Linked DNA regions of Arabidopsis thaliana. The protein of the gene in region 3 interacts with the protein of the main gene of each other region in a biochemical or structural test. Each region holds a gene or a part of one and is shown on either strand. Other genes may lie near its edges.

Region 1 (4,409 bases), on a different chromosome or scaffold from region 3:
TTTACATATAATACAATTAAACAAATTTTAACTAATTAGATAACATACTCTAAAATATGATTGGTCTAAAAAATTTTAAAACATCTTTTTAAAAAAAGTCTCTAAAACATCACTTAAAAGTGATATTGAAGAGTTATAACGCAATGATGCATGAATAGCTGATTTTCTTGGTAACAAAATTTTGTAGTAAAGCTTTAAATTTTTTACTAAATGTTGAAGTACTTTACACTTGAATTTATAGCCGTTAACATAATCATAAACATTGTCAACTTTGTTGGAAAAAACACACTTAAAAGGATAACGACATTGCATCTGAGGTTTTTCACTAATGCTGAAATAAATACTTATTAGAGCTACTTATTATTTGATCGACAACTTTTCTAGTTTCTATAAACGTGTGTTAAGTTGATTTGACTATGTAATCTACAAATAGTTCTTTTTTTTTTTGTTTAACGAAATTTGAATTGCAATTTTTTCCAATTACCAGCATAGCATTATGGTCAGTTGAATCTAAATTAACTGATAATTTCCCTAAAAACTCAAATAGTTCTGCAAGTAAGAAAAGAATCAGAGATTTGACAAAAATAGTGCACTAAATATATATTATCCTAGAAATAAATAAACAGAAAAGGACATTCACATGATTCAACTTCCATCAAGATCCACAACGTTCCTCTCTCGTCTTTATCTCCCCTCCCTCTATTTCCTCCAATCAAAAAGAAAGATAAAGCAAAAGCTTTTCAAAAAGAAAAGAATAAAAAAGTGCAGTGCGGGCCCACTCTGTCGTTGACTAATCTGGATAGTGGTCACACACAGACAGTTCCCCTCAAACTCGAGAAACTAAAGAGTTTTGTCATGATTCATCGTCGTCGTCTCGAGAACCAAAGCATGGTTGTGGTCTCCTTCGTACGTCACGATTAGCATCATCGCATCATCTAGTGCACGCTCCACATGCTTACGCGCCGGACAACCTCTTACACTGCTGCACTTGTAATATCCCCTGTCATAACCATTACACCGAGTCCTCCCCAGTTAGTTCGAGTTCTTATTAATTAATGAGAAAAGAAATAGTCAACTTAACTCTCGGCTTTCTATTTCAAATTTATTCTATAGGAAACAACAAGTCAAAAAGAGCGTGAAACTGAACCCACTACTGTACTACTAGACAACATGTTTGGTACAACCGATATAGAAAAAAACAATATTGACAATCTCTCTGGTACTAATATTGACAATACACAAGTTGCTTAATTTTCTAGCCAATATTTGATTTTTGGTGTTGAATCTAGTGAGTGATTGTGATGTATGTGTAGAGTATATATATCGATGGTAAAAAATGTAAAAAATAATTACCGAGGATGAGGAGAGCCTTTGATTGGTTTTTGACCATATTTTCTCCATGAAAACTCATCTGATGGTATATCAGCCATTTTGCTACTTACTGCTGGAACTCTAATCACTCTTTTTACTCTTGATTTCCTGATTTTTTTACACAAATTATAATTAACGTTTTATTAATCAAATCTCAAGATTTAGATCTAAAATAAGATTAATTTTTAATAATAGAAGTTGAATCAAAACCTTTTCTTGGAGCAATGGCAACGGCTTGAGGGAGATGAATTACATCTTCTCTTCAACGAAGCTGATGATAAAGGAGGTTTACCTCTCGAACCAGAGAGCTGAGATGGGTTAGTGAACTCGAATCCTGATGACATGTGAGTACTATCGGTGTCACATCTATGAGAAGACATGAATGAGTTCGTCGCTGAGACTGGTGGTGACGGCGCAAAGTTTATCGTTGACGGTGCTCCGTTTGCGAGCATCGGAGGAGATGAAGAAGACGAACCGTTCTTTGTTTGATTCTGATTGTTGTTGTTATTGTGTGATAGAGGAGGACGACGATGAATTGGTGTTGGACAATAAACTCTAAACGCAGATCCACCACCGTGATATTGCTCTGTTTTCTGTTTTGTTAACACGGAGCTTGTTTCTGGCTTCTTCTCCTCCACCTCCACCTCCTCCTCAACCACCGGCGTTTGCTTAAACGGCGTTTGCGTTGACGCGGGAGCTCGTCTGAATCTAGCGTGTCCGGTTCTAGATCTACCGAGTAGAGAAATGACCTTCTTGAAGCTGTTAACGGCGACGTCAGTCACCGCGGTTATCTCCGTCTGACTCTTCTCCGTTGGTTGTTGACTTTGACCGATCAGTTTAAGAAACTCCTCCACACCGTGAATCCCTGCAGAAGCAGCTTCTCTCAAAGCGGTATCTTCCATTTTCGCCGCCGCGGCGATTGCAGGAAAACCATCACCTCCTCCTCCGCCGCCGCTGTAGCTGCTCATCATCAGCTCAACAGTCATCTCATCAAATCAGAGACCAACCACTCAGATTCTTATTAAAGGTCAAAGGAGATGTAAATAAATACAAAGATTCAACAGTTTTCTTGTAAGTTGTGTTTTTGGTTAAAGAAGAAGATGATGATGATGATGAGGGGAAGAATAAATGAAGAGAGTGAAAAAGGGGGAGAGTCAACGATATGCGTTTCTCTCTCTATATCTTTAGGTATGTGTTGATAGTGCATCAGTCAAATCGACCACCACTCATAGGCTTACACGTGTGATCATTTGTCAAGCGTTTTGACACTCCTCAGCGTCAATGATTTTAAATTTGGAGCAAGTGGAGCTCGAATTATATATATATTCGTTATTATTATTCGAGAAAAATCTAAGATATTTTATATTTTTGAGGCTGATTAGATGCTAAAAATATAAAAATTAAATTTTTAATTAAAGAAAGATCTAAAAGGAGGAAGGTCTCTCTCTTCTCTCTATAGTATTTTTCAGAGAAAGATTTTTCCGATGTAAGTTTAGAATCGCCGTCCGGGTTTCTTCCGGTTTCCGTTATCTGGATTTTTTCCGGCTATTATCTCCCGTTGATCGGGATTTAGATTTCTTTTTGGGCAATTTTGAATTCGGTTTCTTCGGATTTGTTTTTGTTTTGTAGCTTTAAAATCTTGATGATGAAACATTATGACAGGCAGAATCTTCAGTTCCGAAGAGGTGTTCTCTTCGCATGATTTAGTTTCTTTCTGCTTTGATTGGCTTCACCGTTGGGTTCTGTTTTTTTTGGCTCCAACAGTTTTCCGGCGATGTGTGCGTTCTCGACAATTAGGTTCGTTTGGATCTACTGTGTTTAAGACAGTTTCAATTTCTCCACGACTAAGGTTAGGTCAAAGCTCGTTTCCTATGCAATTAAGATATGCCTTTGTTGTTCTTGCAAGAGATTTAATTGTTAGACAAGTTTGAACTACTCAGTTTTCTCTAATTTCTTTTACCCATTTTTGCCGAATCCTTTGTGATTCTTGCAATCGGATGAGATTAGGAGATTGATGTTTGTTCTGTAACTTTTAATTGGTGATAAAAAAGAAGTCTCGTTGACCGGTGATTTTCCAACGACGTTTCTGATTCACCAGGCTTGAGTCTCATGTGCAGTGGAGGTTAGGCCTGGGCACGAAGCGAATATCCGGAAAATTTGGGATATTTGTTATTCGATTCGTTTTAATCGAATACTTAATTTTATTATTTGCTTTGATCCGAAAATTTCCAAATATCCGAAAATACGAATATCCGGATTTTTGTATGATATTTGTCGGATATCCGCTTTGCTTTGCTACATCCAAATATTTTTTTATATAAATTATTTAACATAGATTTCAAATTTCTTACCTTATGACTTACGAGTGTGAGATTGAGAGCAACTGAAAATTTTCTGGTTATAAATTCTGTAACCAAATTGAGTGATAAAAATAGTGAAAGGTCGAAGAAAGGAAACAGAAATGTCGCTCTTATATTTGATGGATTGGAAAGTAAAACGACAATTTTAGGATAAAATATAAAAAATAAAACAATTTTATTTTAAAAAATTCCACTTCTCTAATAAAAACTGTGTCACAAAAAAAACACAGGCCCAAAGGATACAAATACAAGCCCAAATCCCAACATATACAAATGCACAACCTATATTGTGATATATATATATATATATATATATAGATCGAAGCGAATATCCGACTTTAGAAAAAATAGTATTTGTTATTTGCTTCGGTTTTTACGATTACTACATTTTTCTATTTGCTTTGCTCCAAAATCTTACGAATATTCGGATTTTTCGAATCAAATCAAATCGAATATTGAGTTAAAGCGGATCGAACGAATATTTTGTCCAGGACTAGTGAAGGTTGTGGACGTTCCACGTGTCCCTAGCTTATTATTATTGGTCTGACACGTCTATAGCTTATCTCTTCTTTTGTGTCGTATGAGCCTTTATATGTGGGATGTCTTGGGCTTTATTTTGGTTTTCTCATAACCAAGCATTGTACTGGTAATGATAAAATGAATAAAATATTACACTTA
Region 2 (3,711 bases), on a different chromosome or scaffold from region 3:
TGAGCAAGAGGCGGATATCTTGACTAAGGCATTGACACAGATCAAGTTCAAGACAATGAGAAGTTTGTTTGGAGTTCAAGACCTCTCTAAAGTTAACTTGAAGCTTATGGGGGAGAATGTTGGGTAAACTTCAAAGTTAACTTAAGGCCCAAGTAGTCTTTAATGAGGAGGTTAAAGACTAAGAAAGGCCTAGAAGTTTCTATTAGGTTTAGGAGTTATCTAAGTCCTAATTGTAATACGATTAGCAAAGTTGTGCCTCCTATATACACCTCTTAGGTTGAGAGAGAGTTTTCTAATCATCAATAAAAGAGAGTTATTCTTTTAAAGCTTGTTCTTGTGTTCTTAAGAAACTTTAGTCTTTGCCATCGAAACTTGGTGCTTTTCCTCGTAGATGGTTACATTTCATTTATGGGGTTATGTTATTCTTTAGTTTCAAGATTAACTTCAGCTACAGTACCATTAAACTTAATTCTTAAAGAGTTTGTTATTATTTTGCATGGTTACCTTCTGATGGGCTTTGAGTACTAAAATCAATTGGGGAAAGGAACCAAATTATATGAGTCACCAGTTTAACTCAACAAAGCCAAACCAAAACAACTTCTAGATTATGCATATCTAACTTAAACCTATATATAGATAAAGCTGAAGCCAAATTGTTATGCACAAAAATTCGAGTTTGCAAAGTAGAATATACAATTGAAGACCGTTACTACAATCAATCAAGTATGAGCTGATTGAGAAGAGAGTATTCTTGAATGGTTATGCTCGCCTTCATAAGTCACAATAAGCATCGAAGTTTCTTCTACACATCGCTCAACATGCTTCCTCGCTGGACAACCGCGCACACTGCTACATTTATAGTATCCCCTGCAAACAACAAAAACAAGAAACAAATTATAAACCAAAACATATAAACAAAGTCCAATGTTTTTCTCTTCTTGTAATGTTATTTTACCTAGGATGAGGAGAACCCTTAATCGGCTTTTGTCCGTATTTCCTCCATGAATATTCATCGGGAGGTATGTCCGCAATCTTGTTACTGATTGCCGGTACTTTAATCGATCGTTTCACCCTTAATTTCCTGTAAACAAACACCAAAACATTGAAATAAACAAACTCTTAGAACACTTTTTTCTCAAGGAAGAACAAAACCAACCTTTTCTTGGAACAATGGCATTTGCTTTTACTTCCACATTTTAAACTACCAGAGCAACTAGTCCTCCTAGAATGTTGCGATATATGATCGGAACCTTGAGGTAATCCAATCAAATGAAAAGAGTTTCTATCGTAATCCGTCACACTACCATCCATACTAAGAGATGAAACAAACGATCTTGACCCATTTGATATACTTGGTGAATAACAACTAGCACCAATAGACCCATCAAACTTTAGATTCAAACCACTTTTGCTCCTTGAGTACACTCCTTGCTGATGGGTATGAATAAACTGATAAGGTTTTGGATCAACAGCTCGTGAAGAGGGTGGCTTCAGCTCGAGAAACGACTTATCAAGACACATATTCTGGTTAAACAACATCAATGGAGGAGGACCAGCTGGTACAATCTGAAGAGGCTTTGGTGCTAGAATTGGAATACAACCACTTATAGCATTATTACTGCAAACAGGACTCTCCAAAAACATGTGTTGTGGCAACAAAGAAGAGCTAAACTTGTAGTTGTTGTTGTTGAGTTTCTTTATCTTCCTTTGACCTAACCCTCTAGACAAAAGAGAGGAGACTCTCTTGAACTTGCAAACAGCTTCTCTTGTTTCAACCATTATTGATTTGGAATCATTGGTTTGTTGTGATAAGAGATTCAATACTCCATGACAACTTTCCACTGCTGCTTTGTTTGCAGCTTCAACTTCTTCCATTTTCTTCTTCACAAAGGATACTTTTAAAAAACGAAAAACCTCAAAACTCAAACGCTAAAAAAAACTATTTCAAAAGAAAAGAATAATCATCATGAGCTAGCTCAAACATGGAAACCATAAAAATCAAAATAATAGCTCAAGAACAAGGGTTAAAAGCAGAAAATTGTTCTCTCACTGTAAGAAGAAGAAACAAATATTCTTCTCTCAGTATAAAGCAAAGCTTCGAGATTGGTGAGAGAAGGGAGAGTGGAGATGGTCGTCACTCATCACAGTCACAGAGGAAAGGAGAGAAAAACAGAGTTCTCTGTAAAAGATTTTCGTGGTGGGTTCCATTACTGGACCTACTTTGCATCTACTTTTTCTTTTCTTTTTTCTTTGGAAATAATAATATTTTTGGTGACAACCAAATAATGTTCTGCATAAATATTAGTTTTGTGATAATGTGTCTTAATTATTTCTTATTTATGTATACTAGCTAACTCTTTATATATTAACTAGATTTTGATTCGCAGTATACCGCATGATTATTTTATTTTTTAAGAATAAAAATTTAATTTGTTTTTTTGATTAAAAATATATATGATTTAATGTTTTATATTTTCTAAATGTATTTTCTGAATGTATAACTCTTATATCTATATATTATTAAATATATAATTATTATATTTGATTTTTACTATTAAAAATGTAGAAACAATAACATACCATTCATTAAATTAAAATTTAGATTATAACTAAATAATTTAAATTTAAATTATATTTATTTTACTAATATTATTTGTTTTGTTTAATATTTAAGATAATATAATTGTATTTTGATTGTTTTATTTAGGATTTCACCCGTGGTATACCGTTTCGTATTACTATCGATCCAAACCCGTCCTACCATCTAATCTCGTACGACCCAAATTCAGTTTGATAAAATTAAACATTATTTTTTCTTTTTTGTTCAAATAATATTTTTATTAAAAGATTTATAATTCAAATTAATTTAAAAGTTTTCTTTTGAAATGATTATTTGATTTTATAGATTTCATATATTATAAACGTTTTTTCGTTAAATATTCTAAACATTTTATAAACTTTAAATAAATACAATATTTATTTTTAATGAAATATAATATTAATAAAGTCATAAGATTTCTCCTTTATAAAAGTAATTAGAAAGGAAATATTTTAAGAAAAATAGATTTTTATCTTTATGTGTTATTAACGAAAATAACATTAGTTAATAGGATATTCTTAATTCATTTAAATAATTATCTAAATGATATTTTTAACTCATTTAAATAATTATCTATCTTTATTAAAATATCTAGAGATAATGTCATTAGTTTGATATAGACATATCTCAAACAAATAATTAAGCAACTAATCTTTCCAAAATAAATATACAACAGCCGTATATTATAAACCTAAGAATTCTATATCAACAAAGACAATAATAGGTTAGCTTAAAAAAAATGAAATAATAGGTAAGCTTTTTAGAACTAAAGATCATCTTTAATAAGCCCACTTCTTAAACAATAAGTCTAAGATAATGAAATAAGTTTTTTTTTTCTTTTTTTTTGAAATCAATGAAATAAGTTTTAACAGAAACAAATAAAATGTATTAATCAAAATATTTTTAATGAATGACAATTTCAATGATGTATTATGTTGAGAACAACTGAAAAAGTTGATGTGTCATGCTAGAAAAAAATGGGTCTTATTTTAGATGTATTAATTTCATAGTACAAAATTTTTCAAAGGATAAAATAATATGGTTAAACTAATGCTTGACCTTAAATGATAATATATATGAAATAGAAAGATATTTTACACCCTTTAATCTCT
Region 3 (4,521 bases):
TTTGGTGTTATAAACTAGTATTTGGATATTATATTCTTAATCATAAGTTTTCTTAACGAGAGGCTTTTCGAATTCATGTACAATTTGCATTTCTTGATTTATTATGAAAATACTTAAATAGCAACTGATTAGAAAGACTTTTAAGTTTAGGTTTAGTTCCTAAAAAAGTATTTTCTTTGTTTTAATTGTATTATCATCTCACAAGAATTAGACCATATGCCCGCCCACATTGTTGATAGATAGCAAATGCCTAACGCCTAAATCAACTGATAAATTATAACAGTTAGATCGCCAGAGTATTAGTTAAAGTCTCCTAATATTGGTCGTGTATCTTTTCTGAGTTTTCTCTTGCTAATATCTTAAAAACATTGTGATAGTGTTTCTGTACTAGTGCCACCGTCGTATCATAACTCGGATTTAGTGTTGTCGCTATATACTTGGATTCAAGTTTGATAAGTGTGCGTATGTTGTAGACGAAAATTAAACATTGTGGTAGATAGGAAATGCCTAAATGAACTTACTATATTGATAGTACTTTAAAACTTTTTATATAACAGTATAGTAAATATTTAACATATTCAAACAAGATATGACATTTAAAATCCGTTTAATGGGTGTGAGAGGTACAAATCTCTTATTGCACACAAACATATAAAGAAAAGGAATTAAGAAGCAAATGGTCGGAGCTCAGAGAATACGGCAGTGACTTTTCCGGCGACCATTCTTTTCTTTGTATTCAGCAGAATTGCTACTACGCTTTGCTGCCATAACTCTCTTCCCTCTTCTCCTAATAAATTACACACATTTTAAAATAATTAGGTATCAAGATTTTCGATAATATTTAAAAGAAAAAGAAGAAACTAAGCCTTGTAACAAAAAAAAGTAAAAATAAAAAATACTGGTTACCAACAAAAAAGTTCAGTCATAATTAAAGGTTTGGAGATTCTCATTTCATCTATCTAGCTTTTGCTACTTACCATCCATTTTTGATTTTATTCCCCAAAACATATCTGCCTTTTAATTTAAACAATTACGTTCTACCTCACGAATAACTACTGTATGCATACACCACTTTTTATATGTTTTTGTTAAAATGTAGAATATATTGAATCAAGAAAAACACGAATGTTATTTACAAAGCTGAAAGTTGAAGTGGGGAAAAAGAGAACTGAAGCTTGAAAACTTTTGAAAGAAAAAATGAAATGGAAGTTATGTTTTTCTTTAACCCTTTTTCGTATTTCCTAAATTTTATCTCTTGTTTTAATCGTTACAAATGATAATACTTTTTTCTAACAGTTTACTTATTTTCTTATATGAACCGTAAAATAAGAAAAACATATTTTAATTTGACTCAAATTATATGGATTATTGCCAACATTCCTCTAAAAAATAGGGGAATTTCCAAATTGACCAACAATTTAAAAATAAATAAAAAATTCTAAGCTTTTAAAACTACCGATATAATGTTTTCAGACATTTTTCCTACAAATTTTAATCACACAAATAACCCTTTTTTTTTTTAACAAACATTGCAAACTATAAAATACAATAAAATAAAAAAGTACTAATACCAAGAGATAGCTTTTTCAACGACCATTACAATGGTACTTCACATAATATAAAATAAACTAAAAACTTCCAAACAAATAATTTAACCCAAAGTCACAAAATAGTTCATAACATGAAATTTGGGACGAATGCATAATAATGAACAGTCAAACATAGAATAAAGCAATAATCAGAGTTGTTCAATTCAAAAAAAGAAAGAAAGAAAAAGAGAGAAAAGATATGAGAATAGTTTCCTCACTTTGCCATCATAACTTTGACAAACTCTTCATAATTGATCTGACCATCTCCATCAACATCAGCTTCTTTGATCATCTCATCAACTTCTTCATCAGTTAACTTCTCACCAAGATTTGTCATTACATGTCTTAACTCAGCTGCCGAGATGAAACCGTTCTGGTCCTTATCGAAAACCCTGAAAGCTTCTTTGAGCTCTTCTTCAGAGTCAGTGTCCTTCATCTTCCTAGCCATTAGGTTCAGAAACTCAGGGAAGTCTATGGTTCCGTTACCATCAGCATCTACTTCGTTTATCATATCTTGTAACTCTGCTTCTGTTGGATTTTGACCTAATGATCTCATCACTGTTCCTAGCTCTTTCGTTGTGATGCAACCTAAACACAAAACCACACATTTCTCTCAAATCAGTAACAGATTTTAACACCAAATCTTCAAATTTTCATTGTAATTTACTCTAATAACACACAAAATCTTCAAATTTCATTTTAGTTACTCTAACAACTGTATCAAATGAACACAAAATCTTCAAATTTCATTGTAACCTACTCAAATAACTGAATCAATTAAACAAAAAATCTACAAATGTCAATGTAATCTACTTCGATTATTGAATTCTAAGATTTGTGTCAATTCTAATCACAATTAGTAAAATCTGGAAGACTAAAACACGATTAAGTTAGAGATTATTATCGAGATAGATCCGATTGCGATTATAATTTATAATCAACGAACGATAAAGATATCATCAAATCTCGCGTTTAATGTTAATGTGAATATCCAGAGATTTTATGGACAACGAAGAGCATCAAATTCCTAAAGCCAAGACTAAGTGATACTCAAAACACCAAAAAAAACGCAAGTGAGTCTATTATGAATGAAAATTATACAAAAGAGGAAAGATCTGAGAGAGAAGAACCATCTCCGTCTTTGTCGAAAAGGCTAAAAGCTTCCTTGAACTCAGAGATCTGATCATCGGTGAGCTGATCTGCCATTTTTTGGTTTAGATGAGAAAGAGAGAAGAAGAAGAAGAAGAAGAATCAACGTTGGTGTGTGTAATGAGAGGATTGTTGTGTGGAATTATAAAGAAGGAAAAAGAAAAGGCCCATTAGGCCCAATAACAATAATTTCGAATCTGATTCTCTTTTTTATTCTTCTTTTGTTTTGTTCTCCACTGGGCCTTATTGTGTTTTCAATTCGACTAGCTTTACTTAAGAGGGAGGTGATGTATATATTCCCTTGTGAAAAGAAATAGTATTGTTGTTTTGCCGACAACCATTTACATGCTTTGAATGGTTTAGTTCATATAAGTTACTGATCTTACCATGCGTACCAATACTAAGTATTCAACGAGTTGGTAGAATGGGATTACTAGTGATATAAAACGGTAAAAAAGGTTTAGCTTTGTGTTTACCATGGATTTTAAACTACTTTTTAATTAAGTTAACCAAAGAAAAAGTTTTAGCATTATAAGAAAATTTAGAAATAGTAGTACTTTTTATTTACTGTTTTTGTAATTAATAATCATCTAGGAGTTAGGACAAAAATCACTACTTTGTTGTTGGAAGGGTCACCTAATGGGTAGTTAAGCATCATGACCTTCACTTAAAGATTTGATATTAAACAAGATCCAGTTTTCGCAAAACTGTCATACTTTTTTGATCGCCACAACTATGTCTCTCAGTTTGGCTAGAGATGTAGTAAAAAACAAACTTATTGTATCCATCACAATTATAGGTAATTTACTGTCTTGGTTTTAAAAACATGTAATGTTGAGCATCCCAAAGTTTGTGTGTCCCAATGCTAGAGCATATTATAGTCTTACCTCTAGTGAGTTCATAAAGAAGTGTTGTATGATCATATATTTTGTTGAGTAAGAGAAATATTTCTTTCTTCCTCATGTGGTTGATTATTCAAAATTATACAAAAGAGGAAAATCACTTAAAAATATTCACGATACCGTTAAAAGATTACCAAAGAATGGGCCAAATCATAATATTAATAAAGCCCGTTAATAACCGAATCGACCCACCCGACAAAACAACCCGAATCGTTTTAATATCCAACCCGGAGTCAGACGGAGCTCCAAAGATTTGGCTTGTCTCTGGCTTGAGAACAAAGAAAACCCCTTTCTTCGATCTCAGCTTAAATCACTCGACGAAGAAGAAATCAGAAAAGAGTCAGAGAAAAAAAAAATCAAGGAAGATGAGTAGCATTGGAACTGGGTACGATCTCTCCGTCACCACTTTCTCTCCCGATGGCCGTGTTTTCCAGATCGAGTACGCCGCTAAAGCTGTCGACAACAGTGGGTTAGTTGGCTTTATCTTCTTCGATCTTCGCCCTTTAGTAGATCGGATTTAGCTTCTGAAAACTTTGAGATTTTGGTTATCGACACGAATTAGGGTTTGTTAAAAGTCTTTCCCTTTTTTTTTCTTCGCAGGACTGTTGTTGGAATCAAGTGCAAAGATGGGATTGTTATGGTTTGATTCTTCCTCCTTCCTCTATTGATTTTTATACTACTTTGTCACTTTCTTCAGTGGGTTTAGTCTCTCGTGCTGTGATTTAACCTTGGAATGAAGTATTCACATTTTTGTTATCAGAATTGTAGATTTGATGTAATATATACCGTGTAAATTTTGACCCAAGATGACACATTTTACAGTCCCTTAGTTTCATTTCCTGTTCGATATGTTGTGAATCTGTTGTTAGTTTTGGGTTTTG
Region 4 (4,118 bases), on a different chromosome or scaffold from region 3:
CCTTTTAACATAGCAAGTACTTGTACATCTCTAATTTTGTATACATCGTGCCAAACTGTTTGTCTTACTACCAATCGATATCGAAATATAAACATAGGAAATGGTCAAACACTTGGTATTTCATTTTAAAACATAGGTCGGCAATAACAAATGACAACTTTGACACAAGATATAGATAATAAATGTCAATGTACTATTCAGACGGCATAAATAAATTCAGTTGACCCTTAACTTGTCTTTCGGATTTCACATTTATATAGACAAACTCAAATGCATTATTCGACACCAAAACCCAACCAACTCATTAAGTACTCATTGACTTTTAATCATTCATCAATTTAGTCAACTTTACTTTCGCGAGCAATCCAACGGCCACCAAGTCATTTATATTAATTAAGGAAAAAAACAATGAATAATGAAAAGTAAATGACGAACATAAGTCTATATCATTTGGTGCGCAATTAATTTCATAACCTCTACGGTTCTACCTAATACCCATATCTACTAATCATCAACAACAATAGTATAAAACATTGCACCACCACTAATTTTTCTCTATTTAAATTGATTTCTTAATAAAAAAATTTACAAATTTCAATCCATCTAAAGTACTCAAAAAATCAAAAAACAAATAGTACAAAAAAAAGTCAAGCCGAGGCAAACACTAAATCATTAATGCCTGAAGAAGAAATATTCTCCTGCATCGCGGATTGGTTATGACGGTGCTCTCCTTCGTATGTCACAATAAGCATCGCTGGATCATCTAATGCTCGTTCCACGTGTTTCCTCGCTGGACATCCTCTGAATGTACTGCACTTGTAGTAACCACTGGATCGCAAAAAACAAATAAACACCGTTAGATCGCGATTAAATTAAATACCAACGGTGGATATTAGACGGGTGTAGGATATTTACCGTGGGTGTGGTGAGCCCTTGATCGGTTTTTGTCCGTACTTCCTCCACGAATATTCGTCCGGTGGAATATCGGCGATCTTTGCACTTATCGCCGGTACTCTCACGGTTCTCTTCATCCGATTTTTCCTGCTTCATTAAAAATCAAATAGAAAATATTAATTAACGGAAAAAACATTGGGTTCCAAAAGTCAACGGTCAAAACTTGAGTTATTCATTGAGCTCAACCGGTTCTAGTCATTGTCGGCGCGCAATACCAAAACATGCCCGACATTTAAAGCAACTAGACCGATAACCGGGACAGTATTACTAAACCGGGTTCACCTAATTGAATTATTAGACTATTTTTTAATTATTGATATAGCGAGGGTAATAGTCAACTATGGGTTGAAACTTTTGAAATTAAATAACTGAAGTCACTGAGTAGTTGTTAGAGCGACAGGTGGGTGACGTAACAATACCTTTTCTTGCAATGGCACTTTCCGTAGGCGGAGCCGGAGACTTTTCCGGAGAAACTCTCTGAGTGCTCATGCTCGAGACATCTCTTTCTGTAAGGATGACCAGCCAACGGTGGTTTTCCGGAAGAGTTAACAGGCTGCAACGGAGCAGAAGCAAGGAAGATTTTTCCATTGGAGACGCTGCCGTCTCCGGTTATCGCCGACGACATGAATGAGGAGTTTAAAGAAACACTGAAGTTTTCTTTGGAGAATTCCAGCTCGGCGCTCTTAGCTTTGGTGCCGAAGATGCTTGGTTTAGAGAAATCGAGTGTTACACTAGACGGTGGAGGAACGATTTGAGGGTGATTCGTAGTTGTTCTCACTATCGGAGCCTCAGGTTGAGTATTTTTAACGATCTGACTCTGTAGTTTCTGAGATGCGGCAGAGGAAGTGGAGTGAACCGGTCCGCGTCTGAACCGAGCGTGACCAGTACGGTTAAGGAGAGAAATGACGGTTTTGAATTTAGAAACGGTGAAGTCAGTGATCTCGGAGCAGTCAACGTTGTGTTGTTGTTCGGGACGGTTAGAGAGGACACGGATCAGATGTTCCATACTTTGTAAACCTTGCGATGCAGCTTCCTGAATAGCCGTTTGATCATCTATCTTAGGGAAACGCATTAGATCGACGGCCATGATGATTTCTTGGTCTGAGGATTTTGGAGAGGAACGTTGAAGAAGAAGAAGACGAAGACGAGAGAGAGAAATGGTTGTGATGGAGAAGAGAGAAGAAGAAGGATGCGTGATATATGGGGAAAAGAGGAGGTGACCGGGTCAGATTTTTGGTGATTTTTTAGTCAAACCGGGAAGGAGGTTTTGATCCAACGGCTGTGATTGAGTTGAGGATTTCCACGGAATAAAGCAATCAACAGTTTGGTCTCCTCAAAGTTCGAGGTTACTGGGACCCACCCCTGGCATCCGAATTTTATCGTTACTTCAAATTCAAGATATTTTTCAACCCAAAAAGATAATGGATGGACAGAATTTTCTCTAAATAACAACACTCTTAACAAAAATCATTCAACTTAGCTTAAGCAAAAGGTGTAGAAAGAAGTTTGCATGACCAAAGTAAGTAAAAATAATGTCAATGATTCATTCACACACAATGGAGAAAGAGGGCCAGCTGGAATTTGGTTGAGGCAAGAGAAGGAAGAGTTGTCAACGAGAGACAGAGATGATTGATTAATCCCAAAATAATAATAATGGATACATTTGACTTTTATAAAGCTTTAATTATATATTATGTTTGTCCCAATTTGAATCTTCTGTATTCTTTCAAATTCTACGGACTTTAATATTTGTCAACTAGATTTACGATTAACTAATTCAAGACTAAGTTAAGGGGTTTCCATAACCAATAAATATTTGGCGCCGGACTTTTACTTCTTTTTTGTCTTTTTCTATTGATAAAATTTGACTGTTTACTTATTTACAACAAGAAGTTTTCATTTTAGAAACAGTCTTCACTTGGAAACTTTATTAACCTCAAATTCACCTAAGTATTCTACACATATTGTGAAAACAACAAATAATAATAGTCATTATAATTAAAATAGCAGTAATGGTTTGACTAATGATTTTAAAAGTCCACTAGAACAGCGATTCATCAATACGACAAAGGAAGGTGAAAAGCTGACTATTTAAAATGTTAAAGTAGTAGTGCTACTAAATTATTGTAAGAAAATAAAAAATAACGAATTTACGATTATTTCTTTGAACATAAAGCTATTTGACGACCTCGGTAACCGGGTGGTCCCATTAACTCTTATATGAACCACTGGATTTTCGAAAGGTCAATCCAACGGTGGATCTGTGGATACAAGTGTTGACTATGTTTTTATGATTTTATGAGCCTATTAAAATCTCCAGCCAGCTATTAAGTTCTTGTCACGTGTCGACTTTTGTTATCATGTTCCACTATTGAAATTGTTTCAAAAATGAATGGAACAGAAATTAGGCAAGGCATAAAATTGAGAAAAAGGGAAAAAAAATTTATTTAGTGTTTTGATGAATTATTTTTGTTTGTAGAATTTTTATTAACGAATGATTGAAAAATAAAAAATATCGGAAATTGTATATAGTGACATAAAATGTACTCGTATGTATCAACATTATCTTGGATACTAGTCCATTGGTTACAAAAATAAAATCTTCCAACTTGGATTTTAATCGTATTCAGTAATTGTGATTATCTTAGCTGGCAATAATTATATTGTCTCTCTATGTTTTGGAAATTAATCTGGACTTCAGCTTAAAATTCTTAAATTATTAACAAAATAAAAAATGAAAATAGAACGTGTTGAGTGTTCATGTAACGTGTTTTATGGCTATATATGGGTGGGGAAGAAACCATGGATTGTTGTTATTTAAAACAGTTTCTTATGTCAACGATTAAATTATAACATGGGGTAGTTGACCCGATCGACCGAGTTGTATTATTATTGTCGTGCACGTCTATATTATCTACATAGTTACAAAATCTCAATGATCATCCTTTTTTCTATGTCTCAATCACTCATTGTGTTATAATATTTCTGAGCATCTCTTTTTCTTCCCGATCAATATTTGTTTGGTTAACATTAGAATAAGATAACAAATATATATTTGTAAGAGAAAAAACTAACATGTCAATGCGGTTTTGGAACTAGTCTTTCACTAATTTTAAAAGTAAACTTGTTTTTGTTCTATACATGCGGGGTAAAATCGTTCCCCG

The links.
Region 1: the proteins of CAM5 (region 3) and WRKY7 form a complex in vitro, tested with the Arabidopsis thaliana proteins (one study listed by BioGRID).
Region 2: the proteins of CAM5 (region 3) and WRKY74 form a complex in vitro, tested with the Arabidopsis thaliana proteins (one study listed by BioGRID).
Region 4: the proteins of CAM5 (region 3) and WRKY11 form a complex in vitro, tested with the Arabidopsis thaliana proteins (one study listed by BioGRID).

What each region holds. Positions count from the first base shown.
Region 1 is NC_003075.7:12,569,878-12,574,286, reverse strand, and holds WRKY7 (WRKY DNA-binding protein 7), read right to left. Parts: upstream 2,750-4,409; 5' UTR 2,358-2,749; coding exon 1,582-2,357; intron 1,480-1,581; coding exon 1,354-1,479; coding exon of another isoform or gene 1,350-1,353; exon of another isoform or gene 1,001-1,349; coding exon 841-1,000; 3' UTR 514-840; downstream 1-513. UniProt on the Arabidopsis thaliana protein: Transcription factor. Interacts specifically with the W box (5'-(T)TGAC[CT]-3'), a frequently occurring elicitor-responsive cis-acting element.
Region 2 is NC_003076.8:10,677,071-10,680,781, forward strand, and holds WRKY74 (WRKY DNA-binding protein 74), read right to left. Parts: upstream 2,135-3,711; 5' UTR 1,876-2,134; coding exon 1,157-1,875; intron 1,082-1,156; coding exon 956-1,081; intron 868-955; coding exon 720-867; 3' UTR 529-719; downstream 1-528. UniProt on the Arabidopsis thaliana protein: Transcription factor. Interacts specifically with the W box (5'-(T)TGAC[CT]-3'), a frequently occurring elicitor-responsive cis-acting element.
Region 3 is NC_003071.7:11,530,343-11,534,863, reverse strand, and holds CAM5 (calmodulin 5), read right to left. Parts: upstream 2,898-4,521; 5' UTR 2,796-2,897; coding exon 2,720-2,795; intron 2,178-2,719; coding exon 1,808-2,177; coding exon of another isoform or gene 1,804-1,807; exon of another isoform or gene 1,580-1,803; intron 788-1,579; coding exon 688-787; 3' UTR 506-687; downstream 1-505. Other genes in the region: PAG1 (20S proteasome alpha subunit G1), read left to right, coding at 3,700-4,109, 4,241-4,280. UniProt on the Arabidopsis thaliana protein: Calmodulin mediates the control of a large number of enzymes, ion channels and other proteins by Ca(2+). Among the enzymes to be stimulated by the calmodulin-Ca(2+) complex are a number of protein kinases and phosphatases.
Region 4 is NC_003075.7:15,289,418-15,293,535, forward strand, and holds WRKY11 (WRKY DNA-binding protein 11), read right to left. Parts: upstream 2,123-4,118; 5' UTR 2,042-2,122; coding exon 1,374-2,041; intron 1,045-1,373; coding exon 916-1,044; coding exon of another isoform or gene 912-915; exon of another isoform or gene 829-911; coding exon 648-828; 3' UTR 530-647; downstream 1-529. UniProt on the Arabidopsis thaliana protein: Transcription factor. Interacts specifically with the W box (5'-(T)TGAC[CT]-3'), a frequently occurring elicitor-responsive cis-acting element.